2 linked regions of the Daphnia pulex genome follow. The protein of the gene in region 2 interacts with the protein of the main gene of each other region in a pairwise test. Links are inferred from orthologs where the notes say so. Each region holds a gene or a part of one and is shown on either strand. Other genes may lie near its edges.

Region 1 (10,138 bases), on a different chromosome or scaffold from region 2:
AGATAAAAGAAAAATCGAGTTCAGCTGTTGAAATGAAAACGTAAGAAAAAAAAGTAGACACAATAACTCACCGGTAACCTGTTTCCAGGGTATGGTAGACATCAGTTAAATCGATACCGGGGTAAGGGGACATCCCGTAGGTGGCAATTTCCCACAAAAGGATCCCAAAAGCCCAGACGTCCGACTAGAGAAAGAAAGAAGAAAAAAGAAACATTTTCACACAAACGATTAATGACGAGGAAAAACGGGAGCCGCAGGAAAGAGGAGGAAAGTGTCACCTTGGTGGAGAATTTATTGTACGCCAAGCCTTCGGGTGCGGTCCATTTGATGGGAAATTTAGCGCCGGCGTGAGCCGTGTAGGTGTCGTCACGCATTAAACGCGCCAATCCGAAATCGGCCACTTTGACTAAGTGGTTCTCGCCGACAAGGCAATTACGGGCGGCAAGATCCCTTCAGATGATAAGCAAAACGTTTTCGGGTTAATGAAACACATCGCGGCAGCAGTTAAGAGACCCCCGCGCGATCCAGTCTATCAAATTTCCCCGGGACCCTAGCTAATTCTCACCTGTGAATGAAATTCCTGCTCTCCAGGTAGGACATGGCGGCCGCTACTTGGGTTGCCATGTAAAGGAGAACAATGGCGTCGATCTCTTCACGGTTGGCCCTTCGTAAATAGTCGAGCAAGTTGCCTCGCGACATGAATTCGGTGACAATGTAGAATGGAGGCTCGCGCGTGCACACGCCTAGCAACTGAACCAGATTCGGATGCTTCATTTCCTTCATTATGGCCGCCTCTTCTAGAAAGTCTTTAAGCGCCATTGTGTCCTCCTTGAGCGTCTTGACGGCCACAGTCATGTTGTATCTCTTCCACATTGCCTCGTACACGTCGCCGTACTGGCCTACAATTAAATAGAAAAGGACCAAAAGTTTAGGGGGGTTTCGAAATCGTCCAGGAAGGGAAAGCCGCGGTTCATCATCATCATCATCTCCCGCGCTTCAATTAGTTCACGTCGTAATCGACACGATGACAACCGCAAACACCCAGCGAGCAGTAAGAGAAAGCGGACACCACCTAGGCCGAAATGAATTAATACCTCCTCCAAGCTTCTGCTTCATGGCGATGTCCGTACGCTCAATTTCCCACTCATCCGGCTCGGGACTAAGAGCAAACACTTGAGGTTTGTGACGTTTGGGGGCCGGATACAACAATTGCGTGATGAGGCCGTCGGCATTGGCCGAATGGTGATGGACGAGCTCGGCCAGGGTCCGGAATCGACTCTCAGAAGTGACGTAAACCTTTTTAAAAAAATAAAAAAAAAGTAGTAAAGTAAACATTCAAACAAGTTTAGAGGGGGAGGTTTGCAATTCAATAGGATTGGATTTATTTATTACCCGCCCTTCCGAGTCTTCGCTGATCCGATAGTGATACACCCGACCCTCATAACGGAGTGAGATGGATCGTTGTCCGGGACTGCTTTCCGATTCCCGAACCAAAAAGCTGCCATTGATGCCCGAACTGAGCAAGTATTCAGCTGCATTGCGGGAGATTGGTCCGTGATACCAAGAGTGTTTCTCTAGGGAATTGACAGCAGTCACATAGTTGGACGGGACCCAGCCGACCCTGCCCGAACCCGAATGAGCTTCGCACCATTCTCCACTTTTATTATAGCTCAGAATTTTCACTTGTTCGCCTACAGAATGATCATAATAATAATAAAAAAGAGATTTAAAAAATAAGGGGAAAAGAAAAAAATAACGTTTGAATGTCTGGTTGATATGAAAAAATTTTTAAAGCGGCACCTTTTTTCAAGCTGAGCTGGTTATCGCCGGAAGCTTGAAAGTCATAAAGAGCGACAAAGAGTTGCGGGTCTTCATCGTCGGGTTCGGTATGGAGCAGATTATCTCTCGACGTCCATCGGTGCGCCGATTCAAGGCTAAAGGTGGTACCGCAGTGGCCGCCTCCTAGTCCCGACGATCCGCCACCGTCCATGTCCAACGTGCCCGTCGCCAAGTCGGGCAGCGTTGGCAGTGGCCGGTTCTGCAACAATGCCTCTGTGTGACACACAATCGAGAAGGAAACAAAACAAAAAAAAAGAATAAAATACAATAAAAAGATAAAATAAATGAAAACACGAGAAACAAAAACAAAGGGAGAAATCAGAACGAAACATGCAAGATGTCTGACCCTCATATGGAAACTATTCAAACCGCTAGGCCAATGGCACGCAATGCCACAGTGTATGTAACGGTAATAAACAAGACAGGGCCGGTTTTTAATTCGCCCCTGTTCCAACAAGCTGCTGGCCTCATCTGTTGTGTGTCGTGTTCTTTTCTTTTTTTCTTTTCTTCCATATAATCCCCCCAGATACCGTCGTTAACGAAGGATTTGCATTAGAAATTGCTAGTTTTCAAAATAAGACATTGAAAAATCTTCACGTTTTGACCTCAGTTAACCGGTCGGACGTCACGGCACAACAGCTGTTCGGTAAGTATCTGTTTGTTCCACAACGGCTACCATTACAAGTTTCCCTAAAGTTGCCAACTACGCAAACTGTTGTTGTAGTCTCCGCATTTTTCACGATTAAATTGGCACTCCCCGACACGACTAGATCGTTTCTCTCGTTTCAAAAAACCAACAACAAAAAGTAGCGGACATGATTACACCAAAGTAGACGGGTTCATTGAGAGTAAATAAGTCAAATCTTCCGTGGCGGATAGGATCCGTTTCCAGAAATTCGACCCGCAGCATTTGGTCAGTACAAACAGGATCGAAAGGAATAAGTCAGGCGGAACATCAATAATAAGGTACAGCAGCCGATCAATAATGGCTGACTCTTGACTTTTTTTTTTTTTTTTACTTTTGCTTGTAACTTGTGAGGTTCTTACCAAGTCGAGGCTTGGCACCGGGAGGATAAAGGATCTGAAGGAGCCGCATGACCGAGGGCGGCAAGAGGGCGGGATTCGACATGGCGCAAACCGACCAAATCAGCAGCAGCGTCTTCTTTGACTCTTCTTCTTCTTCTTCTCTTTTTTGGCAATTTTTTGGGTTGGTTTTCACGAAAAAGGAACTTTGACCGAAACCAGATAACTACTTCTTCTTCTAGGCTGCACACTACAGTTCACTACACCTCACGCATAGAGCGAAAAAGGAGAGGGCGAGAAAGGACTGGATAATGTCCGTCCAGTGACGAGTAACTGGAGAGACTGAATTTCCCCTCATCTCCTTTTGCGGCTCGTGATTAGAACGAATCGTCGGTTGGACGAGGCACCACCGGTTATTTCTTTTTCCTCTTTTCTCTTTAATTCTTTTCTTTTTTGCGGTGGCCCCTTTCAGGTCCCTCCCACAGTCGACTCCTGAAACGCAGCACGACATCTGGCCGTCATTTTTCAGCGTTCCGGTCGCTGCTGGTCGAGAGAGAGACACACATACGAGCAACGCGTAGTGGTCCAGGGCACCCTGCATGCGATTTATCAAAATCGTCGTCGTTGTTGTTGTGGTTGTGTAGTAAGTGCACGGAAAAATCCCATTTTCTCAGCAATTGAAGAGAAATGTAATTTTTCTGACAGACAACAACAAGTCAAAGGAAATAAAACTTTCAAAACATGAATGAATGAATAAGAAACTGACGAGATTGCATCTGCCAATGGACACGGTTCTGGCGTCCAAGGCAATCTCACATGGCAGCTGGGAAAAATGATGAGGAAGCCAAGAAAAGAGCATCGCAGACCGAAATGCCAGATTTTTTTTTGTTTTGTTTTTTAGGACAACGTCCAGACGGTTTGTTAAAGAGCCTCGTCGTATCCGAAAGCTGCAATAATGCCATTCCGACAACACAACACAGACACACAAAGACTTAAAAGAGCGATTCTTGGCCCGTTCATTGGTGCGAGAGAGATGGGAGAACCGAGTCTCTTGTACACTAATCAGATTAAGTTGGGAATTTGTTTCTTTTTCTTTCGTTGGAACGGAAAGAGGCATCTGGAAGGAGGAAGACGGGCGCCATACCCGTGACTCCGGTCTCCAAACACTCTGAGTAATTGAACCTCCCCATGATTCTTCCTTCTTCTTCTTCTTCTTCGTCATCATCTATCACTCTTGGGAGTTGAAGGGGAGTTTTGGAGTTGTGTGTCAACCGAACGAACTATGTCAATTCTCACGGTTTCTCTCTTGATGCAAAGTTGGCACGATAGACGGAAAAGCCTGAACGAAAATCACCTGACAAACCGAGTCTCTCGTGGGTCGAATCATAAATAAATTATCTGACGTTCTCTGGCCTCGTGTGCATAATTTGAGTCGCACCAGTTCCAACAAGCGATTTCAGATCTGCATAGAAAGTAGGCGGACTGCCCTGTCACTATGGTGACAGATCAACCACAACAACACCTCACGGTGGCGAATGCAGACTGTGTGACCAATCAAATTGCATAATCTAGTCTATCGATTACGGAGCGATTCAGTAACCCAGGGGCGAATGTAGGTTAGCAGTAGGTTTGGTTTCCATGGCCTAGTAAAAACTCTAAAAGGAATGACAACAAGGGGGTTTTCATATTCACACTCTCAAGGTTGGATCGCTGCAAGTTGCAGTGGCATGAACTCATTTGACAGGAGCAAACAACCACATGCCTGGTTGACGGCACAAGAGTATCGTGGCAAGATAAACAGACAATTGACATACCATTGTGTTCGACAAACACATTGAAGGCCTGAGAACGAGTAGCTGAAGAGTTCTCCCTGGCCGGTCTCAAGGAGTTGGTTTTTGGCTTCACCGGTCTAGAACCAGCTGTAGATGTGAGGGTGAGCGAGTGCAGGGAGCCAGCTGCTGTGGATGTCCGCTCACGTTCCTTGCCTTGCTGGGCTCCCATTGCCCTGAATGTATGCACATCGCCAGCTGGGAAGAGCAGCAAACTGAAAGAGGATGAATCAGATGGTTATGTCTTGGGGTCAGGCTCTCTGCTGTGTGTGTGATGAATAATCCACTTACAGTCAAACTGGGCTATCAGTTCTGTCTAGATAGGTATCATTTGTGATGACAGGCGATGGAGACAAACGGCATAAACGAAACTGGAGTGTTACACTTTGAGGGTAAAAAAGACTATAGCAGACAAGAGCTATAGGCTTTTGTGTTGATTATTTCTTCCAAGGGCGACGGCACACACACACAACTATGCTGAATCCAGGTCTGATTAAAAACAAATACTGCGGCACACCCAAATTCCAATAAAACCCGATCAACAACGACTAATGTTTGTGACTTGAAAAACGAGGGTGTGTTTCTTTTTTGGTTTCAACGTCAACGGTGAACCGAGAAAACGTCTCGGACTAAAAAAGCTTCAAATACGAGAGACTTCACTCCAGCAGCCCCCGGTGTATGGCTGCCATAGTGCCATCTACAAAATTCAGCTCTAGCGGAACAGCGTTGCCGAACTCTGAATATTAAAAAGAGAAAAAGAAAAACAAGTTCGTCGTACTCGTTTCCTACTCTCATCAAATGTCACAGTTTCTTTTTTCACGAAACGGAAGACCCATGTAACCCGTCTCGTGTTGCTGTCTTTTTAATTATCATTGAGATTTCCTCCTTGTGTCTTCATATTAGAATACCAGTGGAAGAAGAAAAAGAGTCTAGCTCATTGTTACAGAGTTGCTGCTGTTGACGCCGGCGCGTTACACAATCGCGGTCGTTCGTTCGATTCGCTTTGCTGGAGATGCACGATGAGATATCTGGCGACTTTTAGATCTAGCGAACCCTGCTGCTGAACAAACAAATTACATCCAACTGTGTTCTAGTCTCTGCTCCGGGAAAAAAAAGAAAAGCTGATTGCTGAAGAACAAAAAAGTTGAGACCGCGAAGAAAGATTTGTGTTAAAATGCATTTATCTTTTCAACGCCGAGCAGCTGGAGATGCTGCTGACCTCGGGAAATCAAAGACTCTGACGAGTGACGATGTTCCTTTTGACTTTTGCTGGGTTCCTTTTCGTCTTTCTTGTGTAACACTAACGCGCTAATTAGGCACAGGGATTTTGTTATCTACCTCCAGACAATGTTCACACACACTGGCAACGACTCGAGCCCTCTCAGCTATAGGGCTCGTATATATAGATCGTTCCAGCTGGAACGTGCTGAGGCTATTCAACGGACAGGGAACCCCTCTCCCTTCCTCATCACTCGAAAAACTCCAAACCGACATTTTTGAATGACTGAGTGAGGGGGAGAGATATAGAGAGGAACTCTTTTGCTGCTGAAAGAGCTAGCTATTGTTAAGCAGGCCCCCAGTCTTTCTGAGCTACTTTGACTGGTTCAAATATAAACAGTCGTCTCTGTATAATACCTTCTGTTCTTTGTTAAAAAAAATCCCAGAAGCCTCATCGTTTTCCTGCCTTCCAACAATTTCAAATGAAACATTTCCAGCAGCTTTCAAAGTCATCGTGCGCAGATAATCACATTTCGCCCCCGTGAAGAAGAAGAATGTCATATCTAAAAGTTCTAAACGGATTGCAGCCGTCCTGAACGGGTCTCTCAAGATTGTGTAGTTGTCGGAAACATTGGAAGCGATAAAAACCCAACAAATTTGTATTCATTTCTGGTTTTTTCTTCTTCTGTTCGACACGTTTTTCTTGTCTATTTGGCACTTGGTAAAGGAAGATTGTCAGGACAACGGCACACATTATGTGACTTGTGTCAAGCTCATTTCCGCGTCTCTTGTGTATCGATTCTGCGCTAGCCGGATGACGTTTTCTGAACAAGCGTCTGATAGAGAATTCTTTCTGTCCCCATAAGAATGTGTACAGGAGATTCGGGGTTGGAATGTCAGCTGGGTTTTCTTGGCTCGTCCTGAGCGCACCCTGACGTAATATACCGCCCACTGGACACGGACCGTACAGTGCTGTAGCTGCAAGAGTTTTTCTTTTTAAAAAAGAAGTCGTTGTCAACATATTGTGGACCGTTGCCTTAATATATTGACATTACGTCAAATAACTCATTTCCAGGGTTGGAGAAGGGATGAACGAACCCCTTTTGCGGTATATTATGTTCTACGTGCCCTGGTTCTGAGCTTCTTCTTAGCTCTCCCTCGCATATTCAAAATATCCCGTTGATTCGACAACCCCCCGAGAAACATCTTTGGCTTCTTCTACTTGATAACTGTCGTGTTCACTTAAAAAAAATGAAGCAGGATATCGAGAAAGGTGAGGAGAGGATTCCCGGTCGCTGGAATCATTTCCCGGTTTTTGACTGGGGAAGGTCTTCCTTTTTCTCCCCCTTTTTCGTTTGTTTGCCAGAGAAAAACAACGCCACACAGTTTGTGCGTGTGTACCAACCGGTGCAAACGATCTTGTTTTAAACACATCGTGTCGTGTGTTGGCGTACGGATGTGTCCAAGAGAAACCTTAAGAACGAACGGTTGTTCTCGATTTTTTCATGCAAACAAACACGATTGTTTTTGTTTACGATTCGACTCCCCAGCGCCACCTATTGACTGACAGTTGAAACTTGCTCAAATGACCGCTAGATGTCTAAATCACCTGACCAAAAAAAAAAAGAATGGGCCGCGCGCAGGTTGGGAACTAAGCCAAAAGGCAAGAGACACCCAGAATGTGTGTGTATAGTGTTCTGAGGCAGAACGTGTCCGGACCGTTGTCGTTCGTGAGCTGCAAGACCGAACTGAAGGCGGCGGCAGAGACCAGAGTGGGTTGGTGTGTTGTTGGTGTGTGCTGCAGCTCCACTCGTTGCCCCCTTTTATTTTTATGAAAAACCACGTCGTCCGAGGTCACATGAACTAGCGGTCTCTTAACATTTCTGTGACTCGTCTGCTATCCTGCAACTCCATATACACACACACCTTGATTCAACAACATCTTTAGTCCAGCCACCATCCAGACAAAGACCACATCTTAAGGTGAGTGTCCACACCAACATTATTGTTTCATTTTCTTGGCTTATCTTGTTCTGTGTTTGGCCGAGTCGAACGTTTTTTGAGCCGTTGTGCGAGTTCACTCACCTGACGGAAAGCGTCCAAAAGAGGCTAGAAAGGGAGGGAAAGGTAGAAACAGTTTTTTAATGACTAGAAGAATAGCCTAAAGCCATCTTTCTCTTTCGGTTAGGTGTCATCCTTTTTTTCTCCATTCTTGGTAGCAATGTACACCCGTGTAAAACACTCTCAAAACGAGTGTTTAGTCGAGTCGATCGAAATGCTTTCATCATGTGTGCAGGTGCGTCAGTGACGCCAGGTGTGCAAATTCTCCAACGACCGACCCATCTAGTCCATTTTTAGTTTATTCAATGGGTATAGGAGGAGGTGGATGTTATGTCCTAGATTTCACGCAGGCCAGCAGCAGTGCAGCTCAGGGGAGGCCAATGAAAGTTTTCCTTTTGGTTATAGCACTGCGTGGAAAAGATATACCCGCGAGGCCATGGGATCAACCCAACCGTGTTGCGTTTTCTATTTTCTTTCCTAGTTTGGTTTTGAAGAGTTTAAGTCGATGTTGCCCAACAACATCCATCGCCCACCGGAAGTGATGATGTCTCTGGCGAATAATAAAAAAGAAGAATAAAGCTTTATTGTTCTTTTTTCCCCCATCCAAAGTTGCCAATCGAATTTGAACTTGGCTGCTTTTGTTTATATTATAAATAAAGTTTATCAAAGAAGAAGCCCTCTGTTGTGTATGTCAAGGTATTGTCCGTTGGGGATGCCGCGCCTGCGCGCCATCTTTTGTTTTTCAACTCTTGAAATGTTGAGTCTTTTGGAGGGCTTGAAATAATAAATCCCCAACCCTTTTTTTTTTGGTTAAATTTGAATAGAAGATTTATAACTCTCACTTTAATCAAGAGAGAGAGAGAGTTGGATAATTGACGTGGTGTTACGCATGTACCCGTATGGGCGTAGCCAAATATACTGTCTGGTTTTTTCACATGGAAAACTCCTCCGCACATACACAGTGACAGTAACACACCCATTGTTTCTTTTTTTTTCAGTTTGTTTGGTTTGTCTTTTTATTGTGTTTTGTTTTATGGCGACTTTTATTACTCCTTTTTCGTTCCATCTACTAGTTGTACGGCAGTCGATGTTCGCATCGCTTGGCCAAATTTTGGCTTCGGTTCAGCCTCTCATCGGTTCCTGTCCAGCGATTTTCGATGTGAAATTTCCCTGCCTCTTTGAAAATGAAATTTTGTGGCAATTTTCTTTTGAAAATTGGTTTTCGCCATCTGACTTTGGAGGATGGCCATTTCGTAATCACTCCCGCATTTCTCTCACGAGAGTCCCAAACACGGTTCCAGCTGATAGATCACGCTGAACGATTTCGTTTAAACGGGACATGCATTTTTCCTCTCTTGCAATTCTTCCCCCCAGTTAACGGTAAATAACACAACGCAGCTGGTCAAATACCCCTCCGCCGAAAAACAAAACGAACCCACTTTTGTCCTTCTCTCGAGTCTTTTTTTGTTTTAATGACGTAAAAACGTAATACGAACCTCTGGCGCGTGTGTAAAATGGACGAGGTGTCACATGCGTATCGTCGTCAGACGCACGTGAATTCTCTCTCCCGTCTCAAATGATTTCCAGCCAAGGGTGACGGTTGCCCCGCGACTCATTTTCGCGATTTTGACTTTTGAAAAACAAACTCCCAAGGTCCCGTTTGCTTTAAGGTTTCTGCTTTCTCTTCTAGTCCTCGAAAAAGAACCTCTCAAGAGTCAAGGATAAAACCAGAAGCCTGGGATCCATATAGAATTGGACGTGGGTGTAATGGGGCGACATCACGAGATGTTCAACATTCACCGTTACTCGGTACATCACAAAATGTACTATATTAACTCTTATTCTCTTTTCCCTTTCCGTTTGGGCTGAAGGTGACATCTGGGAATTCATCCGCTGGATGAATCGAGCGTCACGTGAGCTTTAGCTGGGATTTTCCAAGAGTCAAAAGGCTCTATTATTATTATGATGATGATTATTATTATCACGCCGTCCAATCGTAATCCTCTGGCGTCCTGTTGGGCTTGATTAACTTTGTCGCCGTTGCCGAATCGACTACGCCTTTTTTCTTCTTCTTCTTTCCTCTCAGAGGATAAGAAAAGAAGTACATTTCTTTTCATACCAGATAAAATACGCGATAATACTGTTCTTCTTTTGTTCGTACAACTTTT
Region 2 (9,945 bases):
GGAGAAGCTCACTTGACCGACTTCTATCGTACTTGGGCGCTCCAGTGTAGTATTCGACAGCTTTAGTGGTGTAATAAGCTGGAGCCTCGGTGTCGTAGGTTGGGGCAGCATACGTAGTTGCGTAGTCTCAGTAGGTGCCTCGGTGGTGTAGTACTTAGGAGCTTCGGTGTAGTACTCTGCGCTTTGGTAGTGTAGCTCGGGGAGCAGCACAAGTTGTGGTGTAATAATCTGAATCCTTGGTGGTTTAACTGTAAACCCAACTGTGCAACCTCGGTGTAGTAACTGGTCGTTGCGTATGTTGTTGTGTAGTAAGGCGGCGGCGCTGCGGTTTGGTATCCGCCTTATCCAGGAGACATCGGTACACCAGTGTTCGACCCAGCCATCAACGATACAACAACCAATAGCAGCACGACGGCATAGTTAACTAGACAATATTAAATATTCAACAATAACGGACATATTATCAAATAGAAAAAATGGAAAGTGATACAAAATTCCACGTAGAAATACAGATTATTTACCCGTGATTGCGACCTGGTATTACGACGAAGAATGCAGTTGTTGCCGGGTCGGAGATGCTCACTCGATTGACTTATGTTGCCTTTTCTCTTTCCTTTTGAAAGATTTTCTCTCGTGGTCGACATCAACGATACAGCACCCAACAGCAACACAATACCATAATTAGCTATGGAATAAACAATCGGAAATTATTTTTCGAAGGTAACTAGTCGTATCAACAACTAATGACAAGATAGAATAGATTTACGACTCGAAATAAAAATGAACATTTACCCGTGATTGCGAACTGATATTACGACGAAATATGGAGTTGTTGCCGTGTCGGAGATGCTCACTCGACTGATCCCTGCCAACTTTTCTTTCGCCTTTTATACAATTTTTTCTCACCCCTCCTCTTAAGCCTAATGGCTATTTTACCTTTTTGATAATGAAGCAAAACGTCCCGTTCTTACCCAACCTCTACACCAATGCCTGACACCTTTGCCGTAATGATATCCATGACCTTCGATTGAAATGCAAACTGGCCTTTCTTTCTGCAGGTGACTTTGCCGGGGATGGGTCTACAATAACCAATATCAAAATGAATACCAAATGGCTTACACTTGCGGCTATTGTACCTTTTAGATAATGAAGCAACACGTGTCATTCTCACCCAACCTCTACACCACTGCATGATACGTTTTACGTAATGATCTCCGTGACCTTCGAGCGTCAAGGTCGTAGAAACTGGCCTTTTTCTTTCTGCAGGTTGACGTTGCTGGGAATGGGTCTACAAAAACTAATATCAAAACACATATCAAATCATAAATGATAATGGCTTAAATTTTAGTCACTTTAAAAATACCACATTTGAGTCATTTGACTCGTTTCTTCGGTGAATGAATTCCATTTCGAACCGTTTGAAGGACTGTCGGCTTTTTTAAAAATATTCTACTGCAAACTTTTCTAAGTTTCAAACACATAATCCTTGCACCTGCGGTCGGAGAAGAAAATCTAAAAAAAAGATAAATTATTAATATAAAAAAATACAAATCAAAGCTTCTCATTAAACGGTTGAATAAAATCAACAAAGTTTTGCGACCTCGTGACTTTCGTGTCCATTCTTCACTGGGCTATTCAACATGTGAAAAGGCCACAGTAGTCTAAGTTACGCTTTTCTTGTCTGTTGGATGAAGAGCTCGGACACTTGTTCGAAATTTTGGTGATCTTGAAATAGTAATTCGATTGTTTCGGCGTTTGGAGCAATTAAATGGAAGACCAGGATCTCTTCTTCTTCTGTAGTACAGCAGATGAGAGCAACTTGAGCAACGCCCTACATCGGCGGCCAGTAAAGTGGAATTATTTGTAGGACATTCTCTTACAATTTTAGCAAGTTCTTTAGGAGAATCACAAGTTGACGTGCTCTTAAGCAATGCGTATAAATTGGCTTGGTGGACAAATATTCTTCCTTGATTTCCAGTAGCAACTCTTGGCCGAATAATCGAAATGACAACTAAATTGAGTTTCTCAAACATTCTCTTGACCGTCGAAACTTGCAAATACGAAAGTTTGATGTTCTACTCGGTATCAAATAGCAAGACACATTTCACGATTTTAAAGCCCAGCCAAAGAAGCCTTGAGGCAAGTTGTCAACACGATTACAGAGACGAAGTCACCTAAAAGTGAACCAGAATTTTTAGTAATTGCAAGATTAGTACACCAGACGAAAAAGTTTATACTTCAATGGACGAAAATGGCTGATGAATTCTCCTTGAGAACTGAAGGTATCTGAAGAAGCCAACGACGCGAATGATAAATGAGCCGCCGCTTCCGTGAAAAATTTCCAGTTGCTCGCATCCGGCCCTAAGCACGGTCCCAAATGTTCCCCACTCGAGGAAAAAGCCCTTCGGTTTTTCAAAAATGTTATCCACATAATAACTCATCTTCGAAAACGGTAATTTTTTTTTCAAAACAATTATGTAAATGTACGAAGCATAAACAAATCTAGAAATAGGCCTTTAAAAAAACGCAATTAAAACTAATTAATCAAACATTCAACAAAAGTTTTAGTCATACTTCTTTCATTTCCTATGCGTTTTCATCTTCGCTTTTAGCGACACGATCAAGAAACCACCGTTATGGTCCAAGATGGATGTCAAAAGTCGCCAATAAGTGACTGAAGGGTTGCATGCAAGTGCGGACACCAAATGGCATTTCGATAAGGGAAATAGGATGAGTTGAGTGACATCGATCGGTCAGGATAGTTGGCATAGACGAAATAACACCATGGCTTTGTTGAAGGCTTATAAGAAATACGCCAGACGTCGTACGAGGGCGAATCGAAGCTGGCGTCGCTTACGGCATTGACCGCGTTTCAGTTAATTTGGTTCTTCATTAGTTATGTCTGCAAACACTATTAATAAAAATAAACTGTGAACATTTCCCTGTACAAAACTAACATTCAGCTTACCTTTCCATAATTCAATCATGAGTTGATTGCTTTATAGTCCCAAGGCCGTTCGCACACCACTGTAGATCTGCTCTAAGATTAAACGTGAGCAGACTTGTTTGAAAAACTGGAACGAGCATTTCGAGCATTCATGACTTTTCAAAAAATCAATCGATATTTTTCGATAAAGATCAACAAAGGTTGGTCAGTAGGCGAGTGAACCAACTCTCTCAGCGAGATTTTGTGCTGGTCCGTTGTGAACGTCTTCGTCGACGAAACAATAATCCCAACTGTCACCAAATGAAAAGCCCTGGACGCGGATCGGCGTGAACGATGAAAATGACGCGGCATTTGATTTCTTCAGGACTCCCTTCACCTACTCCAGTTCTTCGAATTCCCACAAATTTTGACCTTATGCATTCGTTTGTCACTGTACCGTTAGTCAACTGCCTCAGATAGTAGAGCTCGTGATAAAAGGGCTTTTCAAATTCCATCTTGGTTAAAACTGCAGCACAGTTCATGTGTTGGGGGCTCAAGTAGTGTCATGTATTACTTTCCTTATGGCAAGAGTTTCATCACCAAAGCCAATTTATTCCCGGATGTCAATATTTTTGGCAAAGATGCCATTTGTAATGAACCAGCATTACCTTCCATGTCATTCGTGACCCAAACATTCAAGAGTCTGAAAAGAGAAATAAGGAATTTCGTTAAATTATCCTGAAATAGTTATCTTTAGTTATCTCACTACTACTTTTTCCTTATTATTAAGCACACAATCACAAGCTTTGCTTAAGTAATACTTACAAAATAATCTTGCTGTTCACATTATAAGAGATAGGTGATAGAAGATGTGGTACTGTAATCCATGCCAATCCCCATGTAGACTGAAGTCGACAGGAGATTAGAGTTTGTTCTTATTCTATGCAAATATTGTGTCTGGCAGTTCACGTAGGTGGGTGTTGTGTCACTGATTGCTTGAGTTCACTCTATTAAGTAATTGTTCTATGTACATATCATTGGATTCTTTGTTAGCAGAGGTAACTGCAACGGTCACACTGAACTTGAAAAGCTTAGACTTGCTGCATTCGAACTAAGTGCTGGGGGTTATTAACATAATAAAAACACACAGAACAAAATCTTTTAGAAGCCCTTTTTTTGTTTGAGCAAACAAAGATTGAAAAGTCCAATATGGGTGAAACCATCCATCCATGCCTTGATGTGATCTGGGCCCATTGAATATAAACATTTCCTTGATTTGACTGCTTTCGTGAGGCAATCGAGAAGAAAAAAAAAAGCAAACTTTTGCGTGAACTCATTAGACAAATGCTCACTACAATCAAACCATCTCATGATTGAAACTTTGCACGTTTGCAAAAAAATGCTGCCAATGCTGGTGAGTGGTGGCAGACGAACTTCAGTGAGAACTGGCTACTAGTGATGTTTCGTTAACGATAACGGATAACGTGAAAAGTCCGTTAACGGACCTTTTTTGGGGTTCGTTAACTTAACGGATAACGCTAACGTTTGGCATTTTTCAGACGTTATTTTCAGACGTTATTTTTGTTTTTAACAGCGCTGCCAAATATGAAATTTTTGGATTTTTCAAAATGAAATTTGTATTTTTTGCGCGCTTCCAACATTTTACTGTAGTAGGTTGACTATGAAAACGAATTTAAATAGCCAATGACAGTGAGCAGTAGTCTTCTTAGCTTCTCTGAGGTTTTTTTTTGCTTTCAAAACGTGGCAAACGAAACTGTATAAGTAGAGTAGGGAAACAACTAGAATCAGAGTGTAAATCTTTAATGTCAGATTCAGACTCTGATGCTCCTGTTGACGGTGAATAAGCGTGGCATCTGCGATGTTAGAAGATCTCGAAAGAAGATTTAATTTCATGACAGATTAAAGAGATCCTGATTTCGACTGCTCCTACCTTCTAGCCACTTCCCTCGACTGCATTGAAACTGAACTTTTAGACAACTTCCACTTTGCAAGTCATGAATTTGATCCTTCTAAGGATCCACCAGTTCAAGATGTGATCTCTTACTGGAAGGATTTGTCTGGTCGTTTCCCCTAATTATCCAAAATGGCCTATAATTTACTGGTTATACCAGTTTCTTCGGCATCATCTGAACGCGAATTTTCCATTGCCGGATGGCACTGTCTAGGACACAAAAATAGGACGGCGGAAGAAGTTTTGGCCGCAAAAGTCTTCCTCACTTGCAATAAGGATTTATTGAGGCCTTTACTTTTTTAGTTGGAACTTGTTTTTTTTTCTTTTGTCTGTGCGTTTATTTAATCCGCAGTTTCTGTTTTTTTTAGTTGATCATTGCTTCATTGTGACATTGTTCAACGCCAGCAGCAATTTAAATATAAGTAATCAAGACCGTGACTGATTTCAGTGATTTGATAGTGCAATTTTTTTATTAAATAACGGTAAAAATAACGTCGAATTTTCGTTAACGGAGACATTTTTAACGGCGTTAATTAACGGCGTTAACGAACGTGAAAAAATGAGACATCGTTAACTTAACGGATAACGCTAACGTTTAGAAAAAGCACTAACGAAACATCACTACTGGCTACTAGCTTGCTGCCCTTTTGCCATGATACCACAACCTAAAAGCAATCGAAAATTTAAGGAATCTTTACAGCTTACATGATAACCAAAGCTAGAATACATATTAATTATTATTTTATGAATAAATATTAATATATATTATATTATATTACTATGGATACGATAGTAAGATCACCAATTCACCATGATTAATGATTATTGTATTATTAATATATCACGGCCGTTAGCGAGTTATTCAACGTTATATGCTATTTTATTTTTTTAAATGAAACAAAAATCACGAACAACAGCCCTTTTTGAAGATCCCCCCTTTTTGCCAGATTTGAATTTGAAGCAAGTAGTGTGCAGTGTGAGCAGTAGATGGCTACGCTGTGGATAGCGGGTCGGAAAAACCATCTGTCGGCTGACGTTAATATTTTTTGGGAAAACCGGGACGCCCAATTGGAGGCTCACAAGACTTTAAGCCTCGCCATATTGAACAGCCTGAGGGAAAGGGGAAAAGTCTGTATTCACTATTCAGTCCTCTTCATGTTGCGCAGATAGTAACTTTTGACGCCCTACCCGTTTTTGTAATCTTGTCAAAACGATTGGTTTGTTGTCGTTGACTCTTGACGCAGTTTCCTAATGGCGGAAACAAAGATTATTTACCACATTGACGAAGAAGAAACTCCCTATCTTGTTAAACTTACAATATCTCCCGATCAAGTTACCCTAGCCGATTTCAAGAATGTTCTCAATCGTCCAAATTACAAATTTTTCTTCAAATCAATGGACGACGATTTCGGGTAAAACCAGTTTTTCTCGTTTTTTTTTTGTTGTTGTCAAGTGGCAATAACGTGTTACATGATAATTGTCCATGTAGTTATTTTTTTATGCAAGTGTAAGCATTGTTTTCTCTTTATTGTTTATGTTTCTAGTGTTGTCAAGGAAGAAATTGTTGATGACGATGCTCACCTTCCATGTTTCAATGGAAGAGTCATATCATGGGTAAACGTAACAAGTTAAATTATATTGATGAATATTTTAAGATGTCTTAATGTTTCTTTCACTTTGTAGCTAGTATCAGCTGAAAGTAGCATTTCAGACTCTGTATCTCAATGTGCTGAGAGTACTGCCACTACTGATGGGAGACCACCGTCTTTCCAGTGAGTTTTTTCTTTACAAATTTTCACTGCTTGTAAAGTTTGGTAATTAACTCGTCATTTGATTTTAGCCCTGGCCATAACAGAAGTATGGCTGAGGAATACACAACAGCTACTGAGACAGAATCGGTCATTAGTTCAAGACACAGTGGTAAACTTTATTTCCTTATGCTGTATTTTTATGTTTATGTGTTTACCTTTGTCCTGTTGCATCTCATTTTTCGTTATCTTCTGCAATTCTTTTGTTCTTTATGTTTTGCCATGAAGAGAGGCACATATTGCCCCGCTCTGGCCGTGTGCATCGTGAAACTTATGAAAAATATGATCGCTTTGATGGTGAGTTTGTTAGCATGGCTTTTTTTGTAGATTGTTGCTTCACTAAATTTTCATGTAGAATGTCTTATCTTACTATATATTCGATTAACATCCGATTGTCTCTTTAGTTCAAGCTCCTCGAAATGGCCACAACGCTATGAGACACAGAGCTGGACACGAATATGAATCCTCTTCTATGATCAGCTCGGATTTAGAGTCGACCAGCTTCGTTGACTCTGAAGAAGATGCATCTTCACGTATCACAACGACCACGGGTATTAAGCAAAGTTATAATAACTCTGGATTTATTGAAAATTTTGCATATTTTGAAATTTGCAGATCACACTAGTGTGTCTCGCCAAGGTCGCAATCGGAGACGTAATCGTCGCCGTCCCCGCCTCCCTCCTCTTTCATCTCGAGCTTCATCATTCTCCAGTATCACGGATTCCACTATGTCACTCAACATAATCACTGTCACCCTCAACATGGACACAGTCAACTTTTTAGGAATTTCCATCGTCGGCCAGAGTCATCAAGGTGGTGATGGTGGAATTTACGTAGGATCCATAATGAAAGGGTATAAACACAGATGAACCTGACATATTTCTTGTGGTAATTTCAAATGAAAATCATTGCTATTATTTAGTGGGGCTGTCGCTTTGGATGGTCGAATCGAGCCTGGTGACATGATCCTTCAAGTCAATGATATTAACTTTGAAAATATGTCAAATGACGATGCCGTTCGCGTTTTACGAGAAGTTGTCCAGAAACCTGGGTAAGCATAACTGTTTTTTTTGTTTTCCAACTTAACATTTAGTACATTGTGTTTTTTATTTGCATGTGTCAGCCCAATCAAACTTGTAGTCGCCAAGTGTTGGGATCCTAATCCAAAAGGATATTTCACTATACCCCGTACGGAACCTGTTCGCCCTATTGATCCCGGTGCGTGGGTTGCTCACACGGAAGCAGCAAGAGGTGATTGTCGTATTTTAAATCATAAATTGGCATCCAACAACAAATCTAACGTCATATTAGGTGGAACGCAGTACCCGAATCGTCCGCCATCTGTGGCGACGATGTCGTCAACCACCACAACAATGATGTCGAGTATGCCAGAAACCGAACGTAAGTTGTCACGTAGAAAATGTACCGAAAGAACTTTTGACTAAGTACTACTTGTCACAGGTCCAGTTGAAGAAGCCCAACCGCTTTCAGTGCGCTCAGACATGCTCGCAATTGTGCGAGCGATGGCGCGCCCAGATTCCGGACTTGAAGTTAGAGATCGCCTTTGGTTAAAAATTGTAATTCCAAGTGCGTTTATTGGATCAGAAGTGGTCGACTGGCTTCACAATCGCGTGCAAGGACTAGAAGAGCGGCGTGATGCCCGCAAGTTGGCTTCCCAGCTTCTGCGAAACGGTTACATCAGACATACAGTAAACAAGTACACATTCTCTGAACAATGTTACTACGTGTTCGGAGACCTGTGTTTGGGTGAGTTGACATTTGAGACTTATCGGGTTATAGAATATTTTGTTTGATGAAAGGGTTTTATCTTGTAGGTGTTTCGGCTCTTCGCCTGACTGATGACACGACATCGGAAGCCGATAGAGACACGCTCGCACCGTTGCCGTTGCCGACTCCTTGGGGTAGTGGGCCTGGTGCTACAGGAGCCGGTGGGGCTACCCCTCACATACCTTATTATCCAACCGGTTATGCGCCCATGCCTTACAGCTACAGCAGTGATCCCCTCGGATCGGCGCCTGTACAAAGTACTACATTTACGTATGGAAGAGAAGGCAGCGTTCACAGTGGTTCAGGTAACCCTCCAAATTCGATTAATTGAATCCTTACAAACTGTATTGTGAAAGTCGAACTTCAAATATGTTGACGTTGTAATAACAAACAGGGAGCAGTGGATCCGACGTACGCAGTGGACTGATGGGTGGAGACAGAAGTCAACCACCTTCTCTGCTAGGCGCAGTAAATCCCGTCGGACCAGGAATCCATGGGTCATCCAGCAGCAGCGGTTCTAGTACGGGTAATACAGTCTCTTTAAGACAGCAAAGACGATGATACCTACAAATGGCATGTGTGTATTTGAATGCAATCAAGAGTTTTGTATTTAAAGGAATAATAAAGAGCAGCTTCGTTTTATTTTATTTTATTTTTTTGTTCTCTCTTTTTTTGCTCTTTTTTTTACGATTTGCGCCTAGGAAGCAGCGACGGGGATTCTCAGATAGCAGTGAACGTTCGGTCGAACGGTGGGCAAGGCGGGGCCGACCGGCCTTTGAATCAAGTTCCGGATGACATGTCTGGATCGAGACAGTCTTTTCGAATGGCCATGACAAATCCATGCCAGATGAACGAGTACTTTGTCGACGTAATGTGATTGATCATTTTCTAGGTGTTAGCCGTTGCTTTTGGGGAAGCGTAAGATAAACTCTTCTTTCCTCACTCTTTTCCATCTGATTTTCAAAGCTTAAAAACAACGTTTAATCGTCGAGTCGTAATAAATCGTGCCCTTCCCTCTGATAGCTATTCTGTACGGCCAAGACTTTTCATATTATGCGGGCGGTTTAGTGTTTTCTTCTTGTATTTACATTTTTAAATAATTGCTGCTTGTGAACGAATTCTTTTCCTTCCCAAACTTCTTTCATTAACTTTTTACAAGTTGACTCTTGTTCTGGTTGTTTTTACGTCATCTTATTTCTTCTGCCGTAGATCATTTATTTTACCTTTTAAAATTGTGAGAGAAAAAAAAAAGAATCATCTTGGTCCGGCAGCTCAAACCAGCTAGTGACGTGGTGCAATAACTCCATAAAAAATTCGTATATCAATCCAGTTTTCTTTCCTAACATTTTTCATGGTATTCATCACAAATTCATAAAAAGAAACTCCTGAAAGAATGCGTGTACCACTGTTTTGTCGAAATTACAACCTTTATTTCAACAACAGACAGACCA

What was found.
Region 1: the proteins of segment polarity protein dishevelled homolog DVL-3-like (region 2) and tyrosine-protein kinase ABL1-like interact in binary tests that used the Drosophila melanogaster proteins (3 or more experiments, as listed by UniProt). The link is inferred for Daphnia pulex from reciprocal best matches to the Drosophila melanogaster genes dsh and Abl.

Annotation. Positions count from the first base shown.
Region 1 is NC_060021.1:8,610,888-8,621,025, forward strand, and holds the start of tyrosine-protein kinase ABL1-like, read right to left. Parts: upstream 5,405-10,138; 5' UTR 4,983-5,404; intron 4,907-4,982; 5' UTR 4,864-4,906; coding exon 4,677-4,863; intron 4,662-4,676; exon of another isoform or gene 2,969-4,661; coding exon of another isoform or gene 2,887-2,968; intron 2,053-2,886; coding exon 1,801-2,052; intron 1,692-1,800; coding exon 1,393-1,691; intron 1,297-1,392; coding exon 1,095-1,296; intron 900-1,094; coding exon 566-899; intron 451-565; coding exon 279-450; intron 185-278; coding exon 72-184; intron 1-71. UniProt on the Drosophila melanogaster protein: Arm and Abl proteins function cooperatively at adherens junctions in both the CNS and epidermis; critical for embryonic epithelial morphogenesis regulating cell shape changes and cell migration.
Region 2 is NC_060018.1:12,877,260-12,887,204, reverse strand, and holds segment polarity protein dishevelled homolog DVL-3-like, read left to right. Parts: upstream 1-5,931; 5' UTR 5,932-6,149; coding exon 6,150-6,310; intron 6,311-6,442; coding exon 6,443-6,512; intron 6,513-6,581; coding exon 6,582-6,670; intron 6,671-6,738; coding exon 6,739-6,818; intron 6,819-6,934; coding exon 6,935-7,003; intron 7,004-7,110; coding exon 7,111-7,257; intron 7,258-7,321; coding exon 7,322-7,559; intron 7,560-7,628; coding exon 7,629-7,757; intron 7,758-7,829; coding exon 7,830-7,957; coding exon of another isoform or gene 7,958-8,017; coding exon 8,018-8,107; intron 8,108-8,167; coding exon 8,168-8,473; intron 8,474-8,541; coding exon 8,542-8,799; intron 8,800-8,888; coding exon 8,889-9,020; coding exon of another isoform or gene 9,021-9,055; exon of another isoform or gene 9,056-9,071; intron 9,072-9,195; coding exon 9,196-9,371; 3' UTR 9,372-9,938; downstream 9,939-9,945.